Bombyx mori: one gene and its partners. The protein of the gene in region 4 purifies or fractionates together with the protein of the main gene of each other region. This does not show direct contact. Links are inferred from orthologs where the notes say so. Each region holds a gene or a part of one and is shown on either strand. Other genes may lie near its edges.

Region 1 (7,169 bases), on a different chromosome or scaffold from region 4:
TGGAAGATCAAGAGAGACATCTACTGGTCAAAGTCATAGACAGGATTTTGTATAAATTAGACGACTTGGTTCGACCCTACGTACATAAGGTAAATATTATAATAAAAAAAAGAAAACATCAAAATATTAATTGTAATTAAGGACATTAGAACAAACCTATTTTTCTTTATCCTAAATTATTTGAATTTTGTCAGATTCTTGTCGTCATTGAACCTCTGCTTATTGATGAAGATTATTATGCGCGTGTCGAAGGTCGCGAGATCATTTCAAATTTAGCTAAAGCAGCCGGCTTGGCTACTATGATTTCTACAATGAGGCCTGATATAGACAACATAGATGAGTATGTACGAAACACAACCGCTCGAGCGTTTGCGGTAGTGGCATCGGCCTTGGGTAAGTTTTGTCATATGAATATTTAATTATTTTTTAAAGGGCATATTTACTGTCGTCTTCTTGTCCCTCGCCTCGTCTTATGCCTCTATGGTGTTTCCTCTAAAAACAAAAAAATACTGACAGGGTCCGTACTAACACATGTAATTTAATCTGTTTTATAGTTTGCTGTCAATCTTTTTGACAGTCTTATGAACATGATGATTTGAGTTAGTGGTATGGTTAAGTCTATGGGGAAATTATAATAATTTGTTCAAGTTTGCATACTTGCTATTCCCTATTATTATATTCCTATCCTAAGAATAAGCTATTTTTAACATAGGCTGTTGTTAACATAACACATCTTCAACACCATAAAAGAAATCTTTTTTTTTCCAGGTATTCCATCTTTATTGCCATTTTTAAAAGCTGTGTGCAGATCTAAGAAATCCTGGCAAGCACGTCACACAGGAATAAAGATTGTGCAACAAATTGCTATTCTGATGGGCTGTGCTATTCTGCCACATTTGAAATCTCTTGTTGAAATTATTGAACATGGTAAGATTAATATTTTAATTATATTTTAAGGATTTACTGAAACTTTCGGAATGCCACAACACCTAGTGGTTCCTGGTGATAGAACCTCTTGTGAGTCCGGACGGGTAGGTACCACCACCCTGCCTATTTCTGCCGTGAACCAGTAATGCGTTTCGGTTTGAAAGGCGGGGCAGCTGTTGTAACTATACTAAAAAAAAAACACCAATCTTTTCCGTAAACCATAGAATATAATCTAATCAGTGTATTCTTAATATGCCTCTATTAGTTTAACCCGTATTTTTACCTGTGTAATCCTATAAAGTAATTTTTAATAACTAAGAAACATCTGATTAATTTGAAACTTTACACATTATTAAAGACCAATCAATTAACATAATTGGATATCACTTTGCATTAATGACTTGACGACGATCATTAGTATAAACATATATTTTTGTATTTGTACATTTACTGTAATAATGTAATAAGGTCCCGGTTTTTCCCGAGCGCTATGACATGTCCTTCTTCAAACGAGGCTTGTGGAGAGTATTAAGCGGCAGGCAGCGGCCTGGCTCTGCCCCTGGCATTGCTGACGTCTATGAGCGACGGTAACTACTCAACATCAGGTGGGCCGTATGCTCGTCTGCCTACTACGGCAATAAAATAAAAATAAAATTGATATTATTATAAATTATTATTTAACAATAATATTTACCTCTATTCGATTTATAAATATAATGTAGCCCAAAGATATAGTTACGCCATGTATTTGTTGACACAATATTTGGTGATATTTTGTAATAATAGGTAGATAATACTTATTTTTTGCATTAGTATTCTAAGTAAGACATTCAACTTTTATTCTTAACTACATACTATTTTATTTTCGTTGATGAACAGATGCGATCTAGTGTTAGCGATTAATGGACACAATAGAATCGTCTGTACCGCCGCTCAGTTTTACATTAAACATAACTAATGTCTCGGTTGTCTAGTTGATTCTAAACACGTCATTTCGGATCCTCCGGATCCACTAACGGTGCTTTTAGGTACCTCAAGCACCGGCCATCGTTCTTGTCGAACCCGTCGCTTGCGACGAAGGGCTCGACGAGTAAATTAACCCTCAGACACAGCCCACTGAGTTTCTCGCCGAATCTTCTCAGTGGGTCGCGTTTCCGATCCGGTGGTAGATTCTGCGAAGCACGGCTCTTGCTAGGGTTCGTGTTAGCAACGTCGTCAGGTTTGAGCCCCGTGAGCTTACCTACTAGTTAAGGTTACGCTGATATAGCTTCTCAAGGCTTTCAGCTTAGGTAGGGAAAAAAAAGATTCTTAAATTACAGTATTTAAATAATTCATTTTATGCAATAGGTCTGGTGGACGAACAACAGAAGGTCCGAACGATCACGGCGCTGGCGAGCGCGGCTCTGGCCGAGGCCGCCACGCCCTACGGTATCGAGTCCTTCGATTCCGTGCTCAAACCTCTGTGGAAAGGTATTCGTACGCATCGTGGTAAAGGTCTGGCTGCATTCCTGAAAGCCATCGGATACCTCATCCCTCTCATGGATGCAGAATACGCGAATTACTACACACGAGAAGTGATGCTAATTCTTATTCGTGAGTTCCAGTCGCCCGATGAAGAAATGAAAAAAATCGTCTTAAAAGTATGTCTCTTTTTTTTCTTTTGTAATTCTATTTTTGGTGCTTATTGATTTTTTCATGTTTCTATCGCCTATAAATGTTTTAAGAAAGTTTACATATAAACATTTCTTAATTAAAGTTTCTGATTTAGAAACATTTTGCAGTGGTATGGGGTGGGGTTAATTTTCAAATAACAAAAGATTTTAACCAATATCTATTCAAATCAATATCAAATCAATTCAAAAGATTTCAAATAATAAAATAAAAAACAATTTAATGTTTCATAACATTATTGCTATTAATGTAATATGATTTATAGATATGCGAGAGAGATGGCCAGTTGTTGCATACACATAATATGCACACACATCTGTATATCCATTGGAAAATAGTGATCTCTACTCTCTTGTTTTACAACGAATTACGATGTTGTTTCTACAAAAAAGTTGCTTCCTAATGAGTTATTTTATTTTTATTTATACTTATTGTACACAAAAAGAAAATACAATAAAAACAGATTTAAAGAATTCTAAATACTATGTACAAAGGCGAGCTTAACTCATTCATGAGTTTTCTTCCAGCAAACCATTATCAGAGAGAAATACGATGTATAAGAGGGGAATAGTGTACAATATAAGAGCTATTAAAGCATGATTTTTAACTAAGCATTAAAAAAATAATCTAATATTAAATGAAAAATACATATAAATAAAAATACATAAAACAATAACTTAAATACGATTAAAGTGACAGGAAATGTTTCTTCATTTGACTCTTAAAAACTTCTAGAGAGGAACTAGCACGAATAGGTTGAGGGAGAGAATTCCATAATCGCACTGCTTGTATTGTGAAAGAGCCACTATAGCGACTAGAGCTGTGTATGGGAGTTTTTAAAAGAAGAGAAGTGGCTTGTCGACTAACTTTGCCGTCAGGAATCAGATATTCAAAGCGTTCACGGAGATAGATAGGGGCATCAGGATTGTGAAGAATAGAATAGAGAAAAGAGAGAATGTTATCATTAGTTATCATTAGGAAGCAACTTTGTTGCTGTTGCGGATAAAATAATAAAGTCAAATGTCTAACATGAAACATGCCTATTAGCTTAGACTGTAAGTCTTAGATAATGCATCAGTCATATACTAATTATCTCACCAAAACCAATAATCACTGTAATGTAATTTAATACACATTGTACTTAATATTTTAGGTAGTAAAACAATGTTGCGGTACCGACGGTGTTGAGCCTCAATACATAATGGATGAAATATTGCCTCATTTCTTTAAACACTTCTGGAACCATCGTATGGCCCTCGACAGACGAAACTATCGCCAGCTTGTCGACACCACAGTGGAAATTGCAAACAAGGTACTAACTATTTCGACCAGAATCATTGTATTTCCATTAATTCACTCAAAAGTAATCATTTTCCCAATCAGGCATTGCTTACATTGTGAAACTATTGATCGCAGGTCGGTGCATCAGAAATTATCAACAGAATTGTTGATGATCTAAAAGACGACAATGAGCAGTATAGAAAAATGGTGATGGAGTCCATTGAAAAGATTCTCGCTAATTTAGGAGCAGCAGACATTGATTCTAAGCTCGAAGAAGCTCTTATCGATGGAATATTGTATGCATTCCAAGAACAGACAACTGAGGTAAAACATTAAAAAAAGTTTAAATGTCTGATTTTTAAACACTTAAGTCGTGACACAAATCTTTTGTAAGTAATCTCTAACTTTATATGATTCAAATTGTGATTTTTCGATAGGATGTTGTGATGCTGAACGGTTTTGGAACAATCGTGAATCAATTGGGAAAACGCGTAAAGCCCTATTTACCACAGATATGTGGTATTATTCTTTGGCGTATGAACAACAAGTCTGCTAAAGTTCGGCAACAAGCTGCCGATCTCATTTCTCGGATCGCTGTCGTGATGAAAACTTGTCAGGAGGTAATCACATTTTCTTTGCCATATCCTCTTGTACGCTATGCTTCCTTACTAAATTAGTATGTAGTATAATTTTTTCGTAATATATTTTACAAAATGGGCAAACAAGCTCAACTGTCGCAAAGTTAACGGGGGTCCATACACCGAATTTAATTTGTCTTGAAGTATATTTGGATACATTAGGAAATGTATCCAAATATACTTAATTTATAACATCATTACCAATTGATTTTGAAAATTTTAATTGCTTGCTATTTCATAGGAAAAGTTAATGGGGCATCTTGGTGTTGTACTGTATGAGTACTTGGGAGAGGAATATCCTGAAGTGCTAGGCTCTATACTTGGTGCATTAAAAGCAATTGTCAATGTTATTGGAATGACAAAGATGACCCCACCAATAAAGGATCTCCTGCCTAGGCTTACACCCATTTTGAAAAACAGGTAACCTTGTTCTATAAATAGTGACTTGATAACTTCATAGAATCTTTAAATTAAATCTTTAATATGTTTTTTTTTAATTCCAGGCATGAAAAAGTACAAGAGAATTGTATTGATTTAGTGGGTCGTATTGCAGACAGAGGACCGGAATTTGTGTCGGCCAGAGAATGGATGAGAATATGTTTTGAATTGCTTGAACTATTAAAGGCTCATAAGAAGGCAATTAGACGAGCGACTGTAAATACCTTTGGTTATATTGCTAAAGCCATCGGTCCTCATGACGTACTCGCAACCTTACTTAACAATCTGAAAGTGCAAGAGAGACAGAACAGGTCATTATTTAATTAATAATTATTAGTAGATTAGTTAGCTTATTAAAATGAGTAGGATACGTTAGATCCTGCATGTTTGTTATTATTATTATCATTTACATAGGGTAATCAAAATAAAAGAACCCGTTTTACCAAAATATCCAAAATAAATTCTTAATAATAATATGGTCACAGGAAGTTGATATAATTTTTTCAGATATATTATGATCACATTGGCCCATCTAAATTTACAGTAAACTTATTTTATTTCCCTACATATTCTCTGGTAGCCTAAGGGGCTATTTCAGCGATGCCATGGTTGCTAGGTCAGCTCACAGGGCTCAACCTGAGAGATCTCGCTAAAATTGGTTATTCACAGAATCTACCACCGACTTGGAACCGCGACCCACTGAGAAAATCCGGCGAAAAACTCAGTGGGTGTTATTTCGCTCGTCGAACTGTGTCGTAATCGAAGAGTTGGACGAGGGCGGTGACTGATGCTTGGAGCCTAGAATAGAAGCACCCAAAAGGGATCTGATAAGACATATTTCGGTGACGGCGACTTTGCCCTTTCCGTCGCCTGAGTCGAATTAGCGATGGACAGAAAAAGTGGGTTATCGTATCGCGCCGCTTTTTCAAAGTACCATTCTCACGCTTCCTTTAGACACTTACGAATCGGTTCTAGTAAACTGATCGATGTTTTCTGTGTATGGATGGAGTTCGTGTAACTAATGCACTAAGAGAGATATTTAACGATGTAATTAATTTTCAGAGTGTGCACAACGGTCGCTATTGCTATAGTTGCAGAGACCTGTTCACCTTTCACAGTGCTACCTGCTTTAATGAATGAATACAGAGTACCGGAATTAAATGTTCAAAACGGTGTGCTCAAATCACTATCTTTCCTTTTCGAGTACATTGGAGAAATGGGCAAGGATTACATTTATGCAGTTTGCCCATTATTGGAAGACGCGCTTATGGATCGGTATGTTACATGTTTTCTGCCCCAAAAACATTTTCCTTTTTCGTTGTATAAATTAGATCAGTATTGAATAGTAATATAGATACGTTGTTATTTAAGATTCATTGGATATTAGTATAAAGAAGCTTTTTATTTTCTAAGCTTAATCAATATTTCCTCAAACCCCAATAAAATTGATTATTAAATTTCACAGAGATTTAGTACACAGACAAACGGCTTGCGCTGCCATAAAACATATGTCGCTCGGCGTGTATGGTTTCGGCTGTGAAGATGCCTTAGTACATCTATTAAATCATGTTTGGCCAAATATTTTTGAGACATCACCGCATCTGGTGCAAGCCTTCATGGACGCTGTTGAGGGCATGCGAGTTGCCCTAGGTCCCATTAAAATACTTCAATATGCATTACAGGTTTGTAATATTCATCAAAACATTTTTAAGAGTTAATTAAAAGATACGTCTTCTAACTACTATTTTCATGTTTCTGAAGTATATGTGATATAAAATATTGTCATCTATATACACTTCGAATGTGGTCACGGAGTATGTTATGTTAAACGGTTCCCAATACCGTTAAGAGACTATACTATCGAAAACGCCACCCAATTAATTGCAACATTTGTAAGTCTCAACTTAATTTGAATAATGGCTGCCCTTGTGCTTAAAATCGCAGGCACGACACATATAGGCAGCTCCATCAGTACCCTAGCTAAGAACTAGGTGTAAAAATATATGACTTTCTGGTGTCGACAGGAAATGTAAAATACTACTAAAGTTTAGGTCGCTCTGTATCTTCTAGTTATAAATCCTAAATTCTATTATTATGTATGTCTAGATGTTATGATGTTATAACTTTTGTGGATATGGATTTTGTGGATATTGAAATTAAAGTACTAATTTACAAAAAAACTTTAATGAAGTGCATGACCATTCACAGGGCCTG
Region 2 (8,518 bases), on a different chromosome or scaffold from region 4:
ATCCCGCGCGGTCACGTCGTACATTTCCACGACGTCGGGTCGAGCCACTAGCTGCTTCAGTTCGGCCACTGACAAACGCGACAATTTTTTTAGTTTGCGTTTTGATAGGCGCTCCTTTTCGTCGGCTGCGTTTTTCTGAGAACATTTATACAATACAGTAGTTTGCTAGCAGTTATGTGAAAGGTTCGTGAAAATTTTAATTAAATTTAATATTTTTATTGAATCGTCAATTAAAATTCTGATGTATGTATTGGCATTTCAAAGTTGCTGTCAAAGGTAGTGTTAGTACAGTAATTGCAGTGTAGTGTAAAATGTTGTTAAATCCAAAAGTGGAACAAATTTATTAGAAAGTTTTTATGTTTTTATGACTTAATTTATCGTTATGTATGTAAAGTTGGTAATTTTAAGATGAATTTGGTTATTTACATACCTCAGCTGCCTCATCATCCGCTGCGAACTGGTCTTGCACTTTATCCTGATGTTTTGTTGGTTTTGGAGCATCCATACCCTCATCTTTGATCGTCTCTTCCTTTTTCTCCGAAATTTTAAATGCTTCCAGTATCCGATGGAACTGACGGTACATTGGTTCCATTTCATGAAACTGTATGTTTTCTTGCACGTATCTGGTTAATTATTTTTTAAATAAGTATTTAATATGTAAGTTAAACTATCCAAAATTGGATGGTACGAAATTTGAGATATTGAAGGATACTTTTGGACCATTCCCAACTATAACTTAAGCAAGCTTTTATTTATTTATTGCTTAGGTGTGTGGACGAGCTCACAGATCACCTGGTGTTAAGTGGTTACTGAAGCCCATAGACATCTACGACGCAAATGCGCCCCCCACCTTGAGATATAATTTCTAAGGCCTCAAGTATAGTTACAGCGGCTGCCCATCCTTCAAACCGAAACGCATTACTGCTTCACGGCAGAAATAAACAGGGTAATGGTATCTAACCGCGCGGACTCACAAGAGGTCCTACCACCAGTAATTACGCAAATTATAATTTTGTGGGTTTGATTTTTATTACACGATGTTATTCCTTCACCGTGGAAGTCAATCGTGAACATTTGTTGAGTACGTATCTCATTAGAAAAATTGGTAGCCGCCTGGGATTCGAAAATCGGTGCATCACTCAACACGATCTTCACCGGGCGGTCACCGGACATCTTTTCCTTTAGGTCACGACGACTTCAGCTACTGATTTCTATACGCGCTTGTCAAATGAAACCATATTCTAACGCAATTATTTTATTATTATTTACCAAAAAAGTTTAACGTTAAGCAGAGAGCAAGTCGCGGTCAGAATAATTGAAATGACACAAGTGAACAAAAAGTGGTTTTCAGTAAACGGTAACAGAAAATAAAATCTTATAGTGCAATTTAAAATATAAAAGCTTTTTTACACTCACTCAATATCTGCTTCTTTTTCATTTTCTTTGTCACTGGATCTCTTTTCTTCTTGTGCGTTGTTCTTTGTCTTAGACTCTTCATTGCGTTTCTGTTTAGCCAGCTTCTTTTTCTTTTTCTTTCTTTTGTTTTTATTGGATTTGCTAGCTTGGGACTGAGGAAGTAAAATGAGAATTAAATAAAATCTTTATTTCTTAATCTTGTAACGCAAGTAACATGTTTTAAAAAAATACTTAAATCAATATTATGAATACGATGATGAATTTTCATATACACAATAGTATTTACGATCATTGAGTTTATGGTTTTTGGATTATAAAGTCTGGGTCTTTGCTTATACTTACAAAAGATTTTAAGAGAGTTAGAGATTAAATGTATATCTTTTATTTTGTTTTTTTTCTACACAATATTTTTAGTCAGACTGTACATAAACAGTATCTATAAAAGAATAGGAAATGTAAGAAATATCCTTCCGGTTTTCAAAGTAAACTTGCTTGTATGCAACAATATTCAGATCATAAGCTTAGAGAGTAATATGTTTGATATCATATGAATAATATGATATCTAGTGTTTATCGTTCACACCTGAAAAATAAGGGCATTTCAATATTTCTAACTCAATGAAATATGTATCCTATTTTTTTTTTAAGGTTATTTTGCTTGCTGATAACTAATATATACTTTAATAAAAAGTACCTCTTGTTTGGAAATTACTGGTGGCATCGGTGGATCAGGAATGTTTTCATCGTCTGACTGTTCATCCTCTTCCACGTCATACTCCGTACTGATCACTGGAGCTGGCGGTGCTTCCATGTCTTTTTGCACATCTGTATAGGGGCAAAACATCATTATAAGGTACTGTTTAATGTGCTATTTTTTTTATTGCTTAGATGGGTGCACGATCTCACAGCCGACCTAGTGTTAAGTGGTTACTAGAGCCCATAGACATCTACAACGTAAATGCGCCACCCACCTTGAGATATAAGTTCTAAGGTCTCACGTATAGTTACAACAGCTGCCCCACCCTTCAAACCGAAACGCATTACTGCTTCACAGCAGAAATAGGCAGGGTGGTGGTACCTACCCATGCGAACTCACAAGAGGTCCTACCACCACCAACAAGGTAAGTGTGCTATTTTATATACAAAATATATAACTTTATAACTGACCCTTTTTTACAAAATAGAACTCAAAGTAAAGTGCTTGTTTGCCAATGTAGTTACCTCAATTTTTTTCAGAATGTCTATAGGATTTTTGAAAGAAATATGTAGGGAACATTTTGGATCTTAAAAGAGCAACATATACTGGTAGTAGAGTGTGCTGTGAGCATGCACGAGTGTGTACCATCACCTTGCCTATTTCTGCCATGAAGCAGTAATGTGTTTCGGTTTGAAGGGTGGGGCAGCTGTTCTACTATGAAATTTAGACTTACAATTCATGTCTGATGTTGGGTAGTGGCTTTTATGTGTTGATGTCTATGGGCTAGTATTTTCTGCAGATGTTGCATGATATAGGTATATTTAAAGCTACAGCTACAGTTTTACAGTTTACATCAGTGACCAGAAAAACTGTAGTTGTTCAAAACATTGGAAGCAATAAAATCACAATTAAAATATGAAATTAAACCATAAAAATTTTCAGTGTGATAAAAAAAAAATTTATTAAATATGGAAGTAATTTAGATTGCCGTGATAGATATATAGAGATACTGGATAAAAGAATAAAGGCTGGGCTATTTTCATTTAGGCTAAGAAACATAAACTTAGTTAAGATGGATGTTTAAGTTTACAATCATCATAATTAGTAATAATGTGCTCAGACTTTTAGAAATTCCAAATAGTTATGAATTTGTAGTCATCTCCTAGTAAAAATGAAACTTAAAATCGATTACAGACATTGACTTGGCTATTGACAATGATTAACTATAAAAATAACATAGAAATGATTAAGAAGAGAGTATCAGTATGTTTTGTATTTCATTTTATTATTCGTTTTTTGTTTCATTATCAATAATAAGTCCATTGAAAAAGAATACATTTTTAAGAAAAATTCTGAAACACCTAAGTGAATTTAAATCGGGATGGCAGTTCTAACATACAATTGAGCCTTCAACCATATATAATGGTGTGGTGGCTTTCATGTTGTGATGCCAACGGGCTCCATTGATAGTTTAATAATGTGTGGGCCATGGCTTGTTCACCAATCTATAAAATAAAAAAGTTACCTGTTTCTTTATCTTCTTCACTACCAAGAGCTGCTTGTCTTTGGTCTTTGTAAGCAAGAGCTTCTTCCAGAGCCTTTGGGAGTACTACACCTCCAGCATTTCCCTGTTTATTTTTAAATTCTTCTGGTGTTTCAATCTTCATGGTCAAGAGTGATGGCAGAGAAGAATGTTGGTCAGAGGATAAATCTTCTTCCCCATCTTCTTCTTCTTCTTCTTCATCATCATCATCTTGATCATTCCATCCTGGCGGACCATCACTTTGCATTCCCCACCCAGGCCCAGGGGGGCCAGGTGGACCAGGTGGGCCTGGTGGTCCATCCCATGGTCCCATAGGTGGTCTCATCCCAGGTGGTCCCATGTCCATATTTTGATTATTATAATTATTCTTATTACGCATCATATTTGGTGGCATTCGGGGTGGACCCATTCCTGGAGGTCCCATTCCGGGAGGACCCATTCCGGGAGGTCCCATACCGGGTGGACCCATACCAGGAGGTCCCATACCCGGGGGGCCCATTGGAGGTGGACCCATTCCAGGCGGCCCCATTGGCGGTGGTCCCATTCCCGGAGGCATCATTCCTGGTGGAGGTGGACCTATTCCCGGCGGCATGTTTGGAGGTCCACCAGACGAGCTAACAGGTGGTGGTCCAGGCGGACCCATTGGTGGAGGCCCCATGGATCCCGGTGGCGGTCCCATAGCTCCTGGTGGCGGTCCCATAGTTCCTGGTGGTGGTCCCATAGTTCCTGGTGGCGGTCCCATAGTTCCTGGTGGCGGTCCCATAGTTCCTGGTGGCGGTCCAATGGACCCCGGTGGCGGTCCCATAGATCCCGGTGGTGGCGGCATCGGAGGAAAGTTTGGCATCCCCGGTGGAGGCCCCACCGAAGCATTGTTATTCGTAGATCCGGTCCCTGGTGGACCATCCATAGCTAATTCACAGTACTGCTACTGAATTCACTGTATAAAATAGACTTTTAACTACAAAGGTATGATTTAGTTCGTGATTATTAAGATCTATTCATTTATAAATTTACAGTAAAAAACAAAACTGATTTGTTTGAGGTTAACGCGCTTGACAATAAGTGTCAACATACCACAGAGACTGTCTTGTCTATGGTATAATGTGGAATCTATGTGCTTAATTATAGATAATACTTACTGTTGTTTAAGTCGTCACTTTTTCGGTTCTTTTTTGGCCTTTGGTTTTAGTAAAACTTTGTGAAGGTCAATTTGACAATCGTCTTCTGTTAGAACTATCGATTTAACCAAAAAAAGGTTTCCAAGTAGATAGTTTCCGAATAAACAGTACTAAAACATATCGAACAAACCTCCCTTGAATTATATTTTCTCTTAATGCTTAAGGACGAACGAGCTAACGGCCCACGTAATGCTAAGTGCTTAAAGAAGCTCATAGACTTCAACAACGTAAATGCCGCCTTCCACCTTGGGATATGAGTTTTTACATTTTTTACAATACAACGGCTGCACCACCCATCAAACCGAAACAAATTGCGTCACGGCAGAAATAGGCATGGTGAGCCCGCATACACCTGCGCGGACCGACAAGACCCTTCCAGCCCTAGCACCAGTTAGTACCACCAGGAAGTAAATAATTATACTATTACAGATCGTACAAATTGCGTGCGCACACTGAATAGTTTTTTCTTTGCAAATAGGCACTATCCCTGTGATAGCACTTTCATTGAGCCCTCTTTGGCATGTGATGAGGAGAAGATATTTTCTAGAGAGAATATATCTTCTAGATCGAGGTTATAAGTAAGTAACTACTTAAATCACTTTTAACTCAAAAGGTTTATGACCGTAAACCAAGTTTAATGCATTGAATGGTAAAAATTATTTAAAAAAACTAGACCGTATAAGAATTATTGTAAAAATCCCATCACCTTCGGATTGCTCATTAAATTTTTTTTTGGTGACCTATTGCTAGTAACCACAAGCGGCTATGTTAGTTTCGCCGAACTTGTATGCGAGTTCACGTGGCCTAGCCTAGGAGACTTTGCGAGCATCAGCCCTAGCAAGAGCAGTGCTTCGCTGAATCTACCATCGAATCGGAATTGCGATTCACGCCGTTGATCCGCTTCGACAATGTTGGCACATCAAAGAGCTTCTTTTTATCTTTGCAGTAAAGTTGAAATTGAGTAATATTCACCGTAGTATATTTAAAATTTGCAGAAGCTTTTGAGCCTTATGTAGAATCTAATAATAAGATTCCATTTTTTGTTAAATTTATTGATTTAAATAAGTTGAATAAATCTAGTAATGTCTATCTCGTTCTGACGCTTTTACCAGAATGAACAGCGTACATAACAGCACTTTTGTTGTATAAATTTAAAGCTGCCGTCGAAAAATTTAAACAATTAACAAAGTAGTCTTAATTAAGACGTCGATTTTTATCATTTTTTATCTGATTTACATTGTTGACACTATAGTCACGTTTCATTCGTTACAGCTTATTTCGGAAATAAAAAGCTAGTAAACCAAGAAGAGGGCCTCAAAAAAATTAACGGATTGAATCGGATAAAATGCGCCATGGGAACTAAATAAGGGATTTCGGATTTTATGACCTGGTAACTGAGACCTTTAAGTCACATCTTATTTTAATTTATATTCATATTTTTATGAAAAATGATATTATGGAATGAAATGAAATGAAGATGATTAATTTGAGACATTAATCAACTGGGATGAAATGAGATGATATGGGATAAAATATAATCTCAGTAAAATGGTGGTCATTTACTAAGACTTTTTCAGTGGACTTTTTGGAGGATCCCGAGAAGTTACGTCCAGCGGCTTTGTTTCATTTTCCCACATTTGTGCACTTTCACAGATAGTAAACAGTTAATTAACCACCATTATTACACATTTAAACCCGAAGAAACACTAAATAGACAAAATAAAACAAATCACACAACTTCACTCCTCGCGTTCCCGCCAAAAAGTCCGGAACTAAATAAGAATTTTTTTAAAAGGATTTTATGACCTGGTAACTAAGACCTTTAAGTCAACTAAATAAGAGACAAATTGGAATCATAGATAATGCAAAACAAAGGTAAAGGTTTAATAAGCTTAAATATGAATAGATACTACGTCAAAATAGACGACAAATGGGAATGGGTATAAAAACTTGTTGAAAACAGATGAACAATTTCCTTTTTGTTATCAAATTTGTTTGATTAGATTGCTAACTTGCTAGTGTGGAAGTCAATTATTGCGTCACCAAAATAATAGTTTAAAATTAAATAAAATGGCTTTTTTTGCGAGGGAACTTCGATCGTGGCGGGTGTCCTTTTTTTCTTGTTTTAATATAATTTGATAATTTTTGTGTAAATAGATTAGGAAAGTTTGTTTAAGCTGTAAATACTTTTATTTATATTTAGATTTTAGTTTTTGTTTATATATATATTTTTATAGGGTAAGTTTTTTTTTTTTTTACTTTTACTGTACATGAATGAACCTGAAGACCCGGGGGGTTCTCCCCCTGCGGTCGCACATCATGTAACTATTTCATATGACTCCAGTATGGATACTGATGGGTCAAATAGCACGTCGATTTTGAGACGTAAAAGAAATACGCCTAAGACTTGCAGACACTGCAATAAAAAAAGGAAGAGGAACAACAAAAATTTAGATCATGGCACAGATTGTTCTTGTGAATCTAATGTTACTGAGTCGGTTCCACATAATATTCCTTCTTCCCCATCTTCACATACTGTATCTGACTCCAACGCCGCAGTTACACCTAATTCAGATAATGTTAATCGTTTATACTTACCTTCTGACGCAGCTCCCTTTGTTGTCCACATTAGTAAGATCATAAGTTCTCCAAATGACAATGTAAGTTTACATCCTGTCATTTTTGGTAGATTTTTAAAACACAATAGCTTCCAAAATATAGTCAACGGTAGTTTAAAAAAAATTGGCAGAAACAGGCTTTCTCTAGCTTTTAATAACCATTCAGATGCCAACAATTTTATCCAAAATTCTATATTACCAGCTAACAAATATAAAGCTCTTATACCTACTTTTAACATCACTCGAATGGGAATTGTAAGAGGGATTCCTATTGATTTAAGCCCAGAGCAAATTATCGAAAATGTTTCTGTTCCAATAGGGTGTGGTAGAATTTTAAAAACTAGAAGATTAAAAGTTAAAAAAACTATAGATGGTAATACCGTGTTTAATGATACAGAGACGGTGGTCATTACATTTGATGGACAAATTTTACCAACTAGAATATATATGTGCTATACAGCATTGCCTGTAGATTTATATATTTACCCAACCATACAATGTTACAATTGTTGCCGGTATGGTCATATTAAGAGCCAGTGTAGATCTAAGCCACGCTGCTTTAAGTGTGGACAGGAACACTCTGGAGATTCATGTACTGTTGATGATGATTTGATTCAGTGCTTACACTGTTCATCAATCTCACATACAGCTATAAGTAAGAGCTGCCCCGAACATGCAAGACAACGCTCTATTAAAGAATCCATGGCCAAAAGTTCGATTTCATATGCTGAATCTGCAAAATTACATCCACCTATCAATCGATCTTATTCTTCTGTAGTATCGTCTCCTTCTACTTTGAAAAAGAATCTGATTGATTCTTCTTACAACCTTCCCAATCAATCGTCACTACCAACATCATATAAAAAAACTGTCTTCATAAAGCCAAAATCTCCTTCTAATAGAGTCACAAAAGGATACGATAGAAAGTCACATGAATCCTTAATAAGAGATTACAATCCACCAGAGCCCTCTAATGGATGTGCTTTGGATCCCGAAAAGAATACTCAATCTATAGCAGATATTATTACTTTACTGATAAAATTACTATCACAGTTTAACAATTTTA
Region 3 (8,827 bases), on a different chromosome or scaffold from region 4:
TATTTAATTATCTTCTAAGAACTTCTCGAAATATAAATAAAAGTTTGATTTTTGAATCGAAATGACTTTCGAAACAAACGGTTCGTGGATTATAATATTATAACTGTTGTGTACCTACTATCCACCTCAGTACCGTGTCAGAGGTTTTTTTCGGAATCTGGAATACTCACTCTGAGCGACGTACCAGTCTTTCGGTAGAAAAAATAAAAAAGCTGATGTTTTTATGCACCAATAAGAAATAAATAATATTACTAACTTGTTGTTTATATTTATGAACAATGTTGACCAAATTCTGATTTAATAATAATGTTCATTTTAATGTACATAATATTCCTTTTTTTTTTTATTGCTAGAAGGGTGGATGAGCTCACAGCCCACCTGGTGTTAAGTGGTAACTGGAGCCCCTAGACATCTACGACGTAAATGCGCCACCCACTTTGAGATATAAGTTCTAAGGTCTCAAGTATAGTTACAACGGCTGCCCCACCCTTCAAACCGAAACGCATTACTGCTTCACGGCAGAAATAGGCAGGCCGATGCCTACCCGCGCGGACTCACAATAGGTCCTACCACCAGTAGTACTTGTAAAATATTTAGTATGAAGTCAAATTCCTAGATACAATATACTATTTATAATCATTTAATAACTAATTTATGTGTAATAACTATGATTATTAACGTATTTCATGAATACCGTACTAGGTTTAACTCGTTTACCCGTTTTATCGAAGTTTATTAAGATATCAGGATATATTTACGTATTAGTTAAGGTATTATAATATTACATCATGAATATATTCGTATTAGCTAATATTGACAAATATCGGTATTAACCCATCTTTACTATCTAGTGACTTATAGCTACCACTGTTGTACTGTACTAAGTAATTACCTACTTATTCACTGTAAAATGAAAGAAATTTAAGTGTCATAACTTTATAATATCAAAAGAATTTTATAATATAACCAAGCTTGAAATTCTGATGATTTATTTGAATTCATTGAAACCATAATTTTTTTAAAAGGATTTACTCTTTTGAAAACGTACGCGGTAATTTTCATAAGCGCGTTGCAGTGTACCGAATTTCTGGATCATTAATCTCGAATCAATGATTCGAAATTCTAATGCAAAAAAAGGCGAACTCTGCACATCACTAACAAATAATACCAATGGAGGGTAGAGTAGAACTGTGTAGGTATCTATATGAAAACTGTCCGTCGAAATGTATTAAATTAGGGTAACGCTACATTAGCATCAAGGTATAATTTCAAGGAACCGCCAAATATTATTAGAGAGTAGGTTTGACAGATACTTTTTCTAAATCAATAATTATACCATTCACAGATTACGAAATAAAATCACAAAAGGTAAGGTACACGTTTTCTTGTAATACTTAATTTTTTATGGTTATATTTACTGTAGTATTTTGTACACCGTAAGTTGTTGAAATTATCAATAATAAACGAAATTTCGTCGAAATTATATTATTTTTTTAACTCCGCATACTTCAGTTCAATGATTGCTACATTTATACCATATCCGTTGTCTACACCAGCGCGATTGTGAGAGGTTTTTGAACTGATTTATAGCATACAGCTGGACACTTTAATTTTTTCTCCCTTATGAGATGATTCTCCTTACCTCTTCCTTCTAGAACCAATATGCATGTCTTTAATGTTGTTCATATTTCCATTCGGAAATTAAAAAAAATATAATAATGATTATATCTCTAGCACTACATAAATGTTTTCATTGTATTTTATGAATGATAGCTTCGCCATGGCATGATGATTTAGATATTGCATTGCGATAAAAGGTATTTTTTATCAAATTATACGTTGTAATATTCTTCCATTTGCTGTTGTAGGCAGCTCATCAAACAACCCACCTGGTGTTGAGTGGCTGTAGTTGCTCATGGACTTCGGAAATGCAGGGACTTCGAAAAAAAAGCCGATGCCTACCGAGTTTTATCAAAGATCTCGAGACTTGTCGCAGTAATCTTATGGTTCAGTAAAACAATAAATAAAAACTAAGTTATATAATTAAGATAAATTATCTTTGTTACTATTAATTCAAACAGCTATCTGGTTTAAAAGACTTAAATCCAGGCCCTTAAAAAAATCCTAGTTGTATCTCTATTAATATCTATGATTTTTAGAACAGACAAGATTGTATGGGTTTAGATCTCTTTGCTTTTCCTAGTAAGGAAAAATTGTACCAAAAAATATCTATGCAGTGTGACCATATGTGGCAGGATCTTGCCATTTTGGCAGGATTGGACTCTTACACCGGTCACTCACATGCGCACGAATACGCAAACCCGCAAGTGTAGGACGACATTTGCAAATGATTATGCAAAGTTTTCGCCACATTCGTGGTTTTCCAAGCTGTGTCGGTTTTTAACAGACATCAAAGCGCGCGAACCGCGAACCTTCGCGTAGTCTCTCACACATTCGTTTGCCCAGTTGCGCCGACGATTGCGAATGTAACGGACGAATCGCCATTTTCATAGTTTTTCACGTCTACTGTGTAGCGTATCTTCATCAAAAGAAATCCCATAAAAACCGCATGGCTGTTAATGATGTCTGGGAAAGAATTCAAAACTCTTTTTCTCTTCAATGTTCTATTGACGAATTAAAAAGGAGGAGAAATTCGTGAGACATTCGTAAACAAGTGTAGGAGGAAGCGCAAACGGGTTCGCAAATTGAGTATGCGAACCCATTTGCACGGCCGCTAGGTTTGCGAATGAATGTTTGACGGCCTTTCACATGCGCGCAAACATTCGTACAATGTACGAATATTTGCGCGCATGTCAGTGGCCGGCATAAGGCAGGATCTATAGTTAAGAGATGGTCACACTGTATCTATGGTTTACGTATACATTTCATACATACTACTTCAATGAATAAAATATATCTAAAAAACGTTGATGATTTGATTCTTCATTATTGTTATTATCTAAAATATTGATTTCAATACTCAGTAACGTAAATTTAGTACAGTTGATTCAACTGAGTTGAAGCATATTTTGTATGCTACCATATATTTTCTCACATAATTTAAACTTCAAAATCATTAATCATTATTTTAATATTATTGTATTTTACAAGGTGATTGACATAAAACAATTTCTATAACCTTTAAAAATGGAAACAATTTTAGAGCAACAACGAAGCTACCATGAGGAAAGGGAAAGAACCATGGACGCAATGGTCAAAGAAATTCTTCACAAAAAAACTGGGGTAAGCCATGTTACATGATCACTGTAGATTGGATTTACCTAAGGGGTGCGGGTGCCTTATTGAGGTTAATAAATTAAAAACAGTTGCTTGATGTTAGCTTATTGAAATACATACACACATGAATACCCCTTCAAAGATTTTTTTGTTTGTACATTAAGGTGAAACTTAGTAACAATCACCTAGTACACCTATTGCACATAGTAATATGGTTACATTTTTTGTTGTATTTATTTTTTAGAAATGAACTAAATGTATTTGTTTAAAATTAAATGTCTAATTCTGATGCATTTAACATTTGAATGAACTGCTGAATGAATGGTACCTTTGTTGTATAAATTCAGGGCTGTTATCGAACAGATGAAACAATTAATAAGTTAGTTTTGTTATGAAACTACTAATTACAACTTAGATTTTTTACATTTTTAATGTGATCTGCATTGTTCCATCTATAACAATGTTTCAGCTTGATTTATTGTTGATTTGGTTTGTCCCATTAGGGACACCTTGTATGGTACTATTAGGCACTACAACTTTGTTAGTTTCTGTCTTGAAGCTATTCTACACACCAGTCAGAACTGAAGCCTCTAGTAGACTCTTATTTTGTGGCATTAATGTCTTAATGTACAAGTAACCATTTAATACTATTTAGGCTGTGGGCTTATGCATTATTTCTTCTTCTTTTTCTCCACCTTATCCCACTATGTGGGGTCGGCACAGCTAATTTTTCTCTTCCATTCTCTTCTATCAGCCGTCATCTCAACACTCACTCCTCTCTCTCTCATATCGTCATTCACACACTCCATCCATGTCTTCTTTGGTCGACCTCTTCCCCCTCTACCTTGCACTACCATTTCCATACATCTCCTAGTCACATGCATCTTCTCTCTACGCATCACATGTCCATACCACGCTAACCGTCCGCTCCTTAATTTGTTGTTTACCGGGGCCACTTTCACACTTCCTCTGATATACTCATTCTTTATCTTATCCATTCTTGTCACTCCACACATCCATCTCAACATTCGCATCTCTGCCGCATGCACTCCTCTTTCATGCTTTGCTTAACTTTCGTCGCCCAACACTCAGATCCATACAGCACGACAGGTCTAATGATCGTTTTGTAAATTTTGCCCTTGAGCTGAAGGGGCATTCTACGATCGCATGCTGTTGCAGAGACCTGTCGCCATTTCATCCAACCAGCGTTTATTCGATTTGCGACGTCCCGGTCTATGTTGCCGTCGTTCTGGAGTATAGAGCCGAGGTACTTGAAGTCGATTGGCGTGAAGTCTGAAGAACCACCAAAATCACAAAACATGTGCTTGGTTTTTGTTCGACAGATCTTCAAACCCACGTTTTCCAACCTTTCTTTCCATTTTGCCAATCTCCTCTGTATCTCAGGCCCTTCCTCTCCAACGAGAACAATGTCGTCGGCGAACAGCATACACCAAGGCGCCTCTTCCTGTATGTCCGATGTTAGGGCATCCATTATTAGGATGAACAGGTAAGGGCTTAAAGCTGATCCCTGGTGTAAGCCTACCGCCACACTGAACTCGTCGCTATTGCCAGCTGCGGAGCGTACGTACGTACTAGCTCTACCGTACATAGCTCGAACAAGCCGTTGGTATTTCCCTGGCACTCCTTTCACTTTCATGCTCCACCACAAAACCTCACGGGGAACCCTATCATACGCTTTTTCTAAATCAACAAATTGCATTATTATGTAATTACATATCATCATTATCCTGCCCTTCTCCCAGTCACCTGGGGTCGGCGCAACATGTTTTCTCCTTCCATACTCTTCTATCATATACCATTTCTTCGCTCACTCCCCTCCTACCCATATCGTCTTTCACACAATCCATCCATTTCTTCTTAGGTCTACCTCTTCCTCTAAATCCTTCCACATTCATAGTTAACACTCTCTTAACAACCTCATTTTCATTCCGTCTCATCACATGTCCATACCATCCCAAACGTGCACTCCTCAGCTTCTCTGTCACAGGTGCCACTTTCAGACTTCCTCTAACATATTCATTCCGTATTCTATCCATTCTCGTTACTCCACACATCCATCGCAACATTCGCATCTCTGCTGCATGCAATCGCCTTTCATCCGCCACTTTCGTTGTCCAACAAGCTGATCCATACAAGACGGCAGGCCTTATTAAGGTCTTATATATCTTCCCTTTTAGGGGAAGAGGGATGTGCGAGTCACATATGGTGCCCGTGACCTGCCGCCATTTCATCCATCCTGCGTCAATTCTGTGCCTCACAGTACGATCCAGTTCACCGTCGCTTTGGATAACAGACCCTAGGTATCGGAAGTCTTGACATACTGGCAAAGGTGTTCCGTCGAGGGAAATGGGTGTAAAATTGGAGAGACCGCCAAAATCACAGAACAGATGTTCGGTTTTCGATCTGCTGATTTTTAGGCCAACACTCTCCAACTTGCATCGCCATTTCTCCAGTATGTTTTGGACCTCGAGCCCGTTTTCTCCGACGAGTACTATGTCATCGACAAACAGCATACACCAAGGGGGCTCTTCCTGTATCTCCGATGTCAAGGCATCCATCACAAGCAGGAAGAGATAGGGACTTAGTGCAGACCCTTGGTGTAAGCCCACTGCCACATTGAACTCGTCGGAATTCCCCGCGGCGGTTCGTACATACGTCCTGGCTCGACTGTACATGGCACAGATTAACCTCACATACTTACCAGGTATACCTTTCTCATTCAATGCCCACCACAAAACTACTCTAGGTACTCGGTCGTACGCTTTTTCTAGATCAACGAACACCATATGCAGATTCCTGTGCACGTCGCGATGTTTTTCGCACACTTGGCGTAGTGCAAATATGGCGTCCGTTGTCCCGCGACCAGGCATGAACCCGAACTGGTTTTGGGTGATCTCACTTTCATCTCGCAATCGCTTTTCTATCACTTTCTCCCAAACTTTCATACTATGAGACATAAGCTTTATTCCCCGATAGCTGCCACAGTCTTGCACATCCCCTTTATTTTTGTATATGGGCACCAGCGTACTGATGCTCCATTCCGTAGGGATCACTTCTTCTTGCAGCAGCTTATTGAAGAATAAAGTCAGCCACTTATATCCGTCTTCTCCCAGTATCTTCCATACTTCCACTGGTATACCGTCTGGTCCTTCCGATTTTCCGCTTTTCATACTTCTCACTGCTTCTCTAACTTCATACATACTAATCTCATTCACAAATCCGACGTTCTCTGGCTTCCTATTAATCACTCTATTCCAGTCGTTCTCCTCATTCATTAATTTTTCAAAATATATCTTCCAGCGCTCTTTTATTTCGTCATCTCTTTTTTTCGTTTTTTCTCCTTAGGTACTTGTAACTGATTATGCATAATTAATAATTATGCATTATTTCTCTAAGCCAAAAATAAATATTATATATCTAACAGAGCTCATGATCGTAGGAATTAATGTTAGACTTGAGGAAATGTAATTTTTTTCTCTAATGTATAGGAAATCAGAATTGCTTCATGATGAAAGTATTTGCTATGGAATATATTTATTTTTGATGTAAACCTAATTAATACTTGTTGTTTTATAATTGTACACTGTATGTTATAGAATTTGAATTTTTTTTTGCATATACTACATACTATGCTGAAATATATTATAATGGTTATGTTTCTTCAGCATCGGGAGACTATAAATGCTGATCATCGTTTGAAGAATTTACATGATGTATGTATATACAATTAAATTTACAGTTTGTGTAACCACTAGTCTTTTAGCATATATTAATTGTTTCTAGAGATATATTGAAGCCTCTATAAGACTTAAAGAATTGTATGAAGATAAAGATGGATTACGAAAAGAAGAAATATCAGCATTGTCAGGTCCACATGAGTTCCAGGAGTTCTATTCGAGACTTAAGCAAATTAAAGAGTTTCATAGAAAACATCCAAATGAAGTGAGTTACAATAATTATAATAGAAAATACTTGTGATTTAGTGCATCTATTATGTAGATGTAGAAATTTTTACACCTGAAAAGTTATTACTTGTATAAATTTTGCATAATAATTTGATTAATAAACCATTTTTTTATATTTTGATTTAATTCATGTTTATGTGGGATGTGTGGGATACAAGCATCCTGACTCCCTTGCCAGAATGCAGCCAGTTGTTTAATTTTGCTAGCTGTCTCGAGGAGTGACACTTGATTGGGATCCAGAAAATAAATACATGAATGTAAAAGCGATGAGTAAGACAGGTTAAGGATCTATTTAAATTTTATGGGTCAGATTAGCACCCTAACATTTTTCATAAACACCTTCATCAGTACCCAATATATTTAAAATTTATTTCATATGCATGATGTATTCTGTTGTAGATATCTGTACCCATGTCTGTAGAATTTGAAGAGTTGGCAAATCAAAGGGAAAATCCTGCTGAGGATTACACAGGTATTTGTTGGAAATATTAAATATTTTTTGTACATATTGTCATCATTGTTGTTTTCAACAGAAGTTATGTTATTTTATTATTAATTGTATTAGAAAAAAATAATTATAAATTTTCAGTTCCTGTCGAGTTCACTGATGAAGAAGGCTATGGAAAGTATTTGGACCTACATTCGTGTTATGAAAAGTACATTAACTTGAAAGGTATTGAGGCAAGTATTTCATTGTTTTATATAATAAAAGTTATATAAATTATACAGTACAATGTGAATGTTCATATAGTTTATTTGGAACATATTTATATATAGTCATATATAGTCATTTAAAAGCCAGCATGTTGATTGTAGGATTTTAAGACCAAACCAAAAAGACTAGTATTTTTGTTACAGAAAGTAGATTATATTACATACTTGAGCATATTTGATCATCTCTTTGACATACCTCGTGAAAGGAAGAATAGTGAATACAGGAATTACATTCGTGCATTGCTCACTTATATGAAAGATTTTGTGTCCAGAGTTAAACCTCTTTTGGATCAGGCTCAAGAAATGGCTCTAGGGCATCAGGAGTTTTTAAAACAATGGGAGTCTGGTACATTTCCAGGATGGCCTGTAAGTATGAAATTATAAAAATATAATTGTGTACTTCATTTTATGAAAATAATTTTGTTTAGTATTATTATATATTGAATTGAAATTAAATTTTGAAAATAAATTTAGAAAATGATTAGTACTGGTAACATTGACATTTAAATTCTTGTAGAAAGAAACTGGTGGAGCTTTAACAAATGTGGGGGCGCATTTAGATCTGTCGGCTTTTTCATCATGGGAAGAGTTGGCGTCTCTTGGCCTGGACAGATTAAAATCAGCTCTTATGGCTCTCGGCTTAAAATGTGGTGGAACTTTGGAAGAAAGAGCACAGAGGTGAGTATTATATTAGCTTTTTTTTCGTAAGTTTACAACATTGTAACTATACTGAGACCTTAAAACTCATATCTCAAGGTGGGTGGCCGTATTTACGTTATAGATGTCTATGGGCTCCGGTAACTACTTCACAGCAGGTCGGCTTTGAGCTCGTCCTCTTATCAATACTATAAAAAAACATTTAATATTTTTTTTATTCTAGGTTGTTTAGC
Region 4 (8,632 bases):
GCTATTCGGTATCTCGGTTATGGGAAAAAGGTTGTAAGGCTACAACGAGCTTAATTTACGTTGTATATCAGAATAACGTGGTATTTTAATTAACAACTGATAGGTTATAGTTTCCGGTGCATCGTACAATACCTACATTGAAAAATAATGAAAGTAGTAGAGTAGTTGAAATTATGACAAAGTAATTACAGTACATTAATAAATTATGCAACCAGCTGTAACAATGAACCTAAAACTAAAAACCTTACAAAATAATAATTACAATAATAATTGCCATAAGCGGCAATCTATTTTTATATAGTGCTTTTAAAAAATTGTATTTTTAATACCTTTTTTGAAAAATATTGTGTAATTAATAATAACTTAATACGTGATTCGCTACACTACAAACAGCTACTAGACTTAACATGTCCGCGGAACTAAACAGCTTCAAACAGCTACTAGACTTAATATGTCCGCGGAACTAAACAGCTACAAACTACAAACAGCTACTAGACTTAACATGTTCGTGAAACTAAACAGTTCCGCGAACATGTTTACTGGAACTAGTTCCGACACTCAAAAGAACGATGTCATGTTCAATCCAGTTCCGAACATGATTAGCGCACGTCTAGTTTGTACCTATAGTCGGATTTTTTATTAGACGAAGTAAACTGACGTTTACTGTGTTGTCAGTTTTTGATGAAATAAAAATAGTGTTGTGACAAAGTGAACGATTGAAAAAACTCCTGAATTAATGAAATTGCCTCGATTGTCTAGTGAATAGTTAGTGTGCCGAACTGCCGATATCGGGCACGGGGTTCGAATTTTAGCCGTGCTTTGTACATACCAACGAGTTTTCGACGAAACATTATGTTCCTATGGTATCTACCTGTACTGAATACCGACTGTTTTAAACATTAAGAAAAACATTGCGAGGAAGCTTGTAAGACTGTCCTATTTCCAATGCATCATATAGTTGAAACTATAGATGTATAAAATATAACAATTATAGGTACATAGGTAATGAAAATAAAAAAAACTGATTGTAGTTACATACTACTAGTAACATATTATTATATTGGATCACTTTAATACAATTTTATTGTAAAATATAAATAATATTCTTTTATAGTTTGAAATTAATGATTAACTCTTCACACTCATTGTTCATTTATGTGATTGAACGAGAACTGAACGCATCACTATTACTTTAAATATAGCAACATTATTTCACAAAGTGACATTAGCTACTGTCAGCTGGCTTCGTCTAATTAAAAATCCGACTAATTTTTTATTAGACGAAGTAAACTGACGTTTACTGTGTTGTCAGTTTTTGATGAAATAAAAATAGTGTTGTGACAAAGTGAACGATTGAAAAAACTCCTGAATTAATGAAATTGCCTCGATTGTCTAGTGAATAGTTAGTGTGCCGAACTGCCGATATCGGGCACGGGGTTCGAATTTTAGCCGTGCTTTGTACATACCAACGAGTTTTCGACGAAACATTATGTTCCTATGGTATCTACCTGTACTGAATACCGACTGTTTTAAACATTAAGAAAAACATTGCGAGGAAGCTTGTAAGACTGTCCTATTTCCAATGCATCATATAGTTGAAACTATAGATGTATAAAATATAACAATTATAGGTACATAGGTAATGAAAATAAAAAAAACTGATTGTAGTTACATACTACTAGTAACATATTATTATATTGGATCACTTTAATACAATTTTATTGTAAAATATAAATAATATTCTTTTATAGTTTGAAATTAATGATTAACTCTTCACACTCATTGTTCATTTATGTGATTGAACGAGAACTGAACGCATCACTATTACTTTAAATATAGCAACATTATTTCACAAAGTGACATTAGCTACTGTCAGCTGGCTTCGTCTAATTAAAAATCCGACTATTACATATTTATATTTATTTTATTTTTAATTTTTTAAATTAAATTGTATACCAATTAATTGCTCCTTCAGGATTTATATTTGTTTTTTTTTCACGACTAAAACCGCGTAGAAAGTTTAGCCATTATAGTTGACGCATGCGCAGTACACATATTTTGCATACATTTATTCAACTAATAAAAATAGTAAATTAAACAAAAAACGAGTAACTTCGAAAGAGAACAAACGTGTTTTATATAAGAACAATCGAAAATGAATATTTACGAGTCATTAAGGATGAAAAATATTAAAAATTGCATTAGAGGGGCTAACTTGTAGGTATATTTTTAATTTTTTTTTTTAAATAAATAAATGCAGAACAAACAATTATTAACAGTGAACAATCATGAACAAATGATGAACAAACGAATTAATAGAAAATAAGTATAAAATAGGAAAAAAATATTTTTTTGAGGGGCTAACTTCATTCACCTGGCTATGTCAGCGTAACCCTAACTTTAGTAGGTGAGCTCACGGGGCTCAAACCTGGTGAAGTAGGTGAGCTCACGGGGCTAGTAGTAGTTTTATTTTTCCAAATGGAAAGGCACAGGTATCATACCACACAGCGTAATCTTTTATATGTATTTTTTATTTTATGAAATATGATACTATGAAATGAATTGAAGTTGATTAATCTATGAAACATGGCATGAAATGAAATGAGATCTCAGTAAAATGGCGGTCATTTACTGAGATTTTTTCAGTGGACTTTTTGGAGGATCCCGAGAAGTTTATGCCATAGATATGATATTTAAATATTTTTTTAAGGGATTTTATGAACTAGTAACAAAGACCTTTAGGTCAAACATTTAAACATAATTTATGCTATACACAGGTTAATTTAATGAAAGTTTATCTCATTTAGTTGGAGTTTGAATATAAATGTAATGGCAGGCAACACTTGACACATGATTACAGATTTTGAATATTAGAATTATTTTAAATGCTTAATAAACAGATGATTGTCTTCTCGTAAGAAAAAGTCAGTACTTTTAATCTAGATATGGTCAAAGCAACATGTAAGAGTTTTACAAAAATATAAAGATAATAATTTTATAATGGTGTAACAGTGTTCAAACTATCTGCAATATAATTATAATGAAGCAGTGTTTTTTTAAATAGCCCCTCATTACCTACAGAACCCAATCCCCTCAAATTTAAACGTCCAACATTTTTCATAAAAATAAGTTTATAAATTAAAATAAGACATGCCTTAAAAGTGTTAGTTACCAGGTCATAAAAATCCTTAAATAAAAAAAAGTTGAGAGCACTGATTGTCAGATTTGTCTGATGTCAAGCAATGACAAGCATTGAAGCAACAGCAGTAAAAAGTTGAAGCGATAAATTATCAAGCAAGCAAATTAAGCATTTGTCGCCTGGTTGATTGAATTTAATATATAACTATGGCCGAAGATCTACGAAATTATACCTTACAATTGCAACAGGTAGGTAATATACATTATACCCAAAATATTTTTGTTTACCAAATATTTTACTCACTCTTGATGGTATTTTTCTTAGGTGGAGGCAGCGTTATTAACGGATCCACATAACGAAGAACTTTTGAAGTTAAAGGCTGATTTAGAAGAAGTAATTGAATTGACACAAGATTTAATTAAGACTCAAGACGGTGATTCAAAAGTCTCTAATATTCATGGTTCTAGTAATAGTGATGATGTTACAGCGTCCCTGTTGGCTGCAGAGGAACGAGATCCTGCAACTAGGCACTATTCTAAATGGATTATTGGCGAAAAATGTTTGGCAAAATGGAGAGCTGATGGAATGTAAGAATTAAAAAATGCTTTATTTCTGGAACTACTGTACACTTTTTACATTACAGTACTTATAAGTTAAACATATTGTATGTGAATTAAACCGATATTATAGTGATCTTAAAATTCTAGGTTTTATGAGGCTCTCATTGAGGAGGTGCTAGAAGACAATTTAAAAGTAAAATTTGATGGATACACAACCTTGGAAGTAGTCTCATTGACTGATATAAAGCCTTTAAATTCAGGAAGTAAAAGACCACATAGTACTGATGAGAGCAAGTAAGTAGAAATAAATCTCCTTGTTTTATATTTCATGAGATACATTATAATGAATACCAAATTGACCCTTGAAATACAACTGTCATCAAATAACAAAAATACTTACAATGTACTTAATAAAATTATAATATTAAATACTTCAATTATATTTATATATATATTATTAATATTCCATTTGAATCTCATGACTACTGTATCATTTGGTCCATGTTGTATAGCTGTGCAGTGAGTTTTACTGTTTTTAGATATAATGTGATTCTTGTCAAGTCTCAATCGTTGTGTTTACTGAGTAAAAAAAGTTATTTTAAAAACATTCAGTTCATGAATAATGTTAGATAGGTTAGAATTAATTCTTTAATAACATTTGCATTTTCGCATTGGCAGTAAACACTGGTTACAAAATTTGTTTAAAATCAGAGTTATTGTGATTTACATTATTTTAATTGAGAATGACAATTTTAACTTGAAGATATGCTTTGTCATTGGTATCATTTAACCTGAAATAAAAATGGAATGGATAAATGAAAATGGAAATGGAAATTTAAATGGATAAATTTTGAATTTACTTGTAATTGTGTAAAATTTATTGGCAGCAGCCTTCTTAGTATTCTTTGTGTTCCGTACCATATTTTATTTTCCCTGATGCTGTAATGTACCAAGCAAGCACTGAAATAATACTTTCATCTACATCATTTTGTAATTTTTGCATGTTCAAAACATATTTAAAGCTACTTTTACAGTATAATCTTGTAATTACTATTTTCATGATCAAAAAATCAGTAGTAAAAAGTATTAAGAAACAACAGAATCAAAGATGAAATGAAAATATTCAATGTGAGATTAAACCGTAATTTCAATTAAAATTGTTATTGTTGTGGAAAATGATTAAATTTGAATATTTGTTTCAGACTTATTGTATGATTAATTTTTTTATTTAATTCTAATAGTATTGTTGTAAATTGTAGAAAGAAATACATTAATTGATGTTTTTCCACTTTATATTTAGTGCTTACTGGAGCCCATAGAAATCACATAATTAAATATAAACATTGACCTTACCACTAGTATATATAAGATAGGAATGATCCATATGAATTAGGAACTTAGGTAGGAAATAAAGATAAAGATAGTACAAGTAGTTCACTGAGTCTGGGGTCATATCTGTATCTGATATCTTTTGTGTGCTTTTTCCCCAACCTATTATGATAAGAGCATAAAAGATAACATCCACTGAAAGTCTAGTGAAGGAGAACTCCACTTTAAAAAAAAACAGATGGAATTTAAATTCACTAATATAATGTTTTTCTTTCCAGACATGGCAAAGGGTATAACAGAGAGTATTTAAAGAAAAAAAAACAGAAGAAACAACAAAGATTCAAACAGATTGAAGAAGAACGAGAATCTGAGAAGAATAAGTGGTTATCATTTCATACTAAGGCTTCTAAAAAACCTGGTGTCAGAACAAAAAGTATATTTGCTTCTCCTGATAATCTGACAGGGAGAGTAGGAATTGGTACTTGTGGTATATCAGGTAAACCAATGACTGAGTATACACCTGGCGAAAAGTGGAAGAAAGGAGGATAAAAGCTTCAAAATAATTATAATTGTATCATTGTTTAGTTTTAATAGTCAACATATAGAAAATGGCAGAATATCGTTAAACTTCATCAAAACATTTATTTACTAGTGCAAAGGTTCAAATCTGGCCAGAGGCTGAACATAAATAATATTGAAAACATATTTCCGGGACTATTCTTCATTTATGAATGCACAGATAAATAAACTTTATTGTTAATTTTGCTGTAACTCTTTACATTAATTTATTTCATCTAATGAAATTATCAGTATGGGTCTCCCGAAATATTTATACCATAACATGGCTTTAGATTTTTAATGCAGAAAATGAGAGCTCATGTTCTACCGATTTTTTTAAAATAATTGAGCAATAAGTTATAGTCTAGATTCCAGAGGATTATACGGCAAGGTAAAAGCATAAAATTATTATTTATCTCAATAGTGGCCCTTAAGACCAGCCTTAGCAACTATCATTTACAATATTTTCTCAATGAAACAATGATGAAATATCCTATTTGTCTGATTTGATATAGAATATAGTCACTTGAAGAGGAAAACGTCTTATCTTGAAAAAATATTGCTGATGATACCCTAAGCCTGTATATAGTTAAGGTAGTCAATAATCGGAGGTGACTTACAACGAAAGATCTAAAGTACTAGATTGTGTCGTAATCAGTGGTAGGGTTGGGATCGCATATTTTTTTCTCTTGTGTTAATACTGCAATTTTCTGTAAATGTTTTACAGTACCAACCTATTGTATTATATGAGCTCTGTTATTGTCTAACGATATTTTGTCGAACTTTTAGACAGGGTGTAAGGAAACGGCTCTTGAAGTTGAACCGGTATAAATTACTTGTTTCTTAACATAAATGAAGAATAAAAAAACTTGGCTAATTACAAAATATAATTATTGTAAATACTGCACAATATAGAACTAATGTGTTCTTGGTAATTGCGTTGAGCCACTCATAGAATGTTGATGGTTGCCGACGCCGGGTGCCTATAATATATGTAAACTATAAGATATATACCTTTTTTTATTTATTGCTTAGGTTGGTGGACGAGTTTACGGCCCACCTGGTGTTAAGCGGTTACCGGAGCCCATAGACATATACATCGTAAATGTGACACCCACCTTGAGATATAAATTCTAAGGTCTCAGTATAGTTACAACGATTGCCCCACCCTTCAAACCGAAACGCATTACTGCTTCACGGCAGAAATAGGCAGGTGGTGGTACCTACCCGCGCGGACTCACAAGAGGTCCTACCACCAGTAATTATGCAAATTATAATTTAGCGGATTTTATTTTTATTACACGATGTTATTCTTTCACAGTGAAAGTCAATCGTGAATATTGTTGAGTACGTATTTCATTAGAAAAATTGGTACCCGCCTGAGATTGCACCGGTATTCGACCGGTGCATCGCTCAACACGAATGCACCGGACGTCTTATCCTTTACGCCACGACGACTTCTAATGTGTTGTGATTGGTATTACAAAAGTGCTACAATAATATTAAAGGTTTTATTTAATTTAGTTTTTTAAAAGGTAAACGAGCATATGGCTAATACTATTGGAAGTTGTCATTGTGGCATGGACATCAGCAATGCTTGGGGCATATCTAAGTTGCTGCCCGTATATAAATAAAAATTTAATACAAATATATCTTAAAGCGAATGAAAAAAAAAACAAGAATGCTATAAAGTTTTTCGAATCAGTTTTTTTGTGTTATAGTGTTAAGAATCGCTTGCATCCCATCTGTGGCCCGGAGCTGTTCCCTCACACCTTGTGATTATATATGTTTGTAGTTTTGTAAAGGCCTAACTCACAAAGGTCAATAACAGTTAATGTGAGATAATTCCTTATAGGAATCCATTTAACTGTAAAACGACAAACTTTGGTTTTACAGCTTAATCACCACATGCCATTGTCGTTGTGTAACAGGTGATTAAGTAAACGATGTTTACGAATAAGCCGGTCATAAATCAGTTATGTGCGTGTCGAATATGACAGTAATACGCGTGTTTATTGAACTGGTAAAGCGGAAATAAAGTTTACATTTTACACAACTAAGTTGTTTTATTAAATCTTGCCTTCTTCCATCGCTTCATGGGTAAACACAGTAATAGAACATCTGCACAATCTTAAATGAGGCTGTTTTCAAGATGTTTGGCTAATGGCATTTTATTAAACGGGTCCTTCTAATGCCCTCCTAATGGTAATTTATTTAACGGGTCCTTACCACGGTTTTCACTTTTGATGAGTACCTACCCTTCATCACGATCACGGGTCCGCCGTCAGACTATCAGTTTATCTGTGATCATACCGCTTGCAACAGCGCCGAAATATCGGGAATTCATTAAAATTGAAAATCGTGGTAAGAAACTATGGTAAATAATAGTGTGCGTAATGTAGATAGTCACGAAAGTTTAAAACAATTCGTAATAAATAGCGTATTTTTTTTTGAAACAATCAATTTTTAAGCGGAATCTGCATGTTTTACATATTTTTTACCGAGAGAAATGGGGTATCTTCCAGGTACCATTATCACTATATAGTCAGCATACCTCTCAGTAGGTATGGACCATTCAACCTCAGAGTGAGAGAGTTGGCAATAAGGCAACAAAGTAGTGGTGGAACAATCCCACCCTGTAGGCATCGTCTTAGTATACTCATTCTATCACCATGTTTGAAATAAAACTTAAAACGCGATTTCCTTTTAGCTTTCCGTTTAGCCTCCTTATATTTGGTCGAGATTTTAAATTTCTACATGATATATGATAGGAAATTGCGTCGTAGCGAATAAATATGTCTTAAGTTTTGTTATCCGCTGTGATTTACTAGATTCCTGAATAGGTACTGCAGAAATTCGTTCTTTTGCCTTCCCTTTTAAGACGACCTCGACAGATGCTAGGTCCCTATTTCAGTCAGGAGATAAAAGGACGGTATCGATGCTATTTTTGTCACAAATGAACAAAATCTTATTATTTTCCGAACAGTTATGATAAATTGTCCCATTACAGTAATAATGTGTAACGATCTAGGGAGTACTTTAGTCC

The links.
Region 1: the proteins of survival of motor neuron-related-splicing factor 30 (region 4) and splicing factor 3B subunit 1 purify together in Homo sapiens (co-immunoprecipitation; 5 studies listed by BioGRID and IntAct, with this or other methods). This does not show direct contact. The link is inferred for Bombyx mori from reciprocal best matches to the Homo sapiens genes SMNDC1 and SF3B1.
Region 2: the proteins of survival of motor neuron-related-splicing factor 30 (region 4) and splicing factor 3B subunit 2 purify together in Homo sapiens (affinity purification with mass spectrometry; 3 studies listed by BioGRID and IntAct, with this or other methods). This does not show direct contact. The link is inferred for Bombyx mori from reciprocal best matches to the Homo sapiens genes SMNDC1 and SF3B2.
Region 3: the proteins of survival of motor neuron-related-splicing factor 30 (region 4) and splicing factor 3A subunit 3 purify together in Homo sapiens (affinity purification with mass spectrometry; 3 studies listed by BioGRID and IntAct, with this or other methods). This does not show direct contact. The link is inferred for Bombyx mori from reciprocal best matches to the Homo sapiens genes SMNDC1 and SF3A3.

Annotation. Positions count from the first base shown.
Region 1 is NC_085116.1:8,407,927-8,415,095, forward strand, and holds part of splicing factor 3B subunit 1, read left to right. Parts: coding exon 1-89; intron 90-194; coding exon 195-393; intron 394-768; coding exon 769-927; intron 928-2,274; coding exon 2,275-2,567; intron 2,568-3,751; coding exon 3,752-3,910; intron 3,911-4,014; coding exon 4,015-4,203; intron 4,204-4,316; coding exon 4,317-4,499; intron 4,500-4,758; coding exon 4,759-4,937; intron 4,938-5,020; coding exon 5,021-5,266; intron 5,267-6,017; coding exon 6,018-6,230; intron 6,231-6,420; coding exon 6,421-6,637; intron 6,638-7,163; coding exon 7,164-7,169. UniProt on the Homo sapiens protein: Component of the 17S U2 SnRNP complex of the spliceosome, a large ribonucleoprotein complex that removes introns from transcribed pre-mRNAs.
Region 2 is NC_085131.1:3,899,864-3,908,381, reverse strand, and holds the start of splicing factor 3B subunit 2, read right to left. Parts: upstream 4,940-8,518; 5' UTR 4,564-4,939; coding exon 3,639-4,563; intron 2,242-3,638; coding exon 2,111-2,241; intron 1,569-2,110; coding exon 1,417-1,568; intron 624-1,416; coding exon 431-623; intron 136-430; coding exon 1-135. UniProt on the Homo sapiens protein: Component of the 17S U2 SnRNP complex of the spliceosome, a large ribonucleoprotein complex that removes introns from transcribed pre-mRNAs.
Region 3 is NC_085112.1:8,794,807-8,803,633, reverse strand, and holds the start of splicing factor 3A subunit 3, read left to right. Parts: upstream 1-2,805; 5' UTR 2,806-3,147; coding exon 3,148-3,243; intron 3,244-6,923; coding exon 6,924-6,971; intron 6,972-7,041; coding exon 7,042-7,200; intron 7,201-7,622; coding exon 7,623-7,695; intron 7,696-7,812; coding exon 7,813-7,904; intron 7,905-8,081; coding exon 8,082-8,303; intron 8,304-8,454; coding exon 8,455-8,615; intron 8,616-8,817; coding exon 8,818-8,827. UniProt on the Homo sapiens protein: Component of the 17S U2 SnRNP complex of the spliceosome, a large ribonucleoprotein complex that removes introns from transcribed pre-mRNAs.
Region 4 is NC_085111.1:9,513,638-9,522,269, reverse strand, and holds survival of motor neuron-related-splicing factor 30, read left to right. Parts: upstream 1-3,173; 5' UTR 3,174-3,345; coding exon 3,346-3,387; intron 3,388-3,463; coding exon 3,464-3,726; intron 3,727-3,846; coding exon 3,847-3,993; intron 3,994-5,306; coding exon 5,307-5,577; 3' UTR 5,578-7,642; downstream 7,643-8,632. UniProt on the Homo sapiens protein: Involved in spliceosome assembly.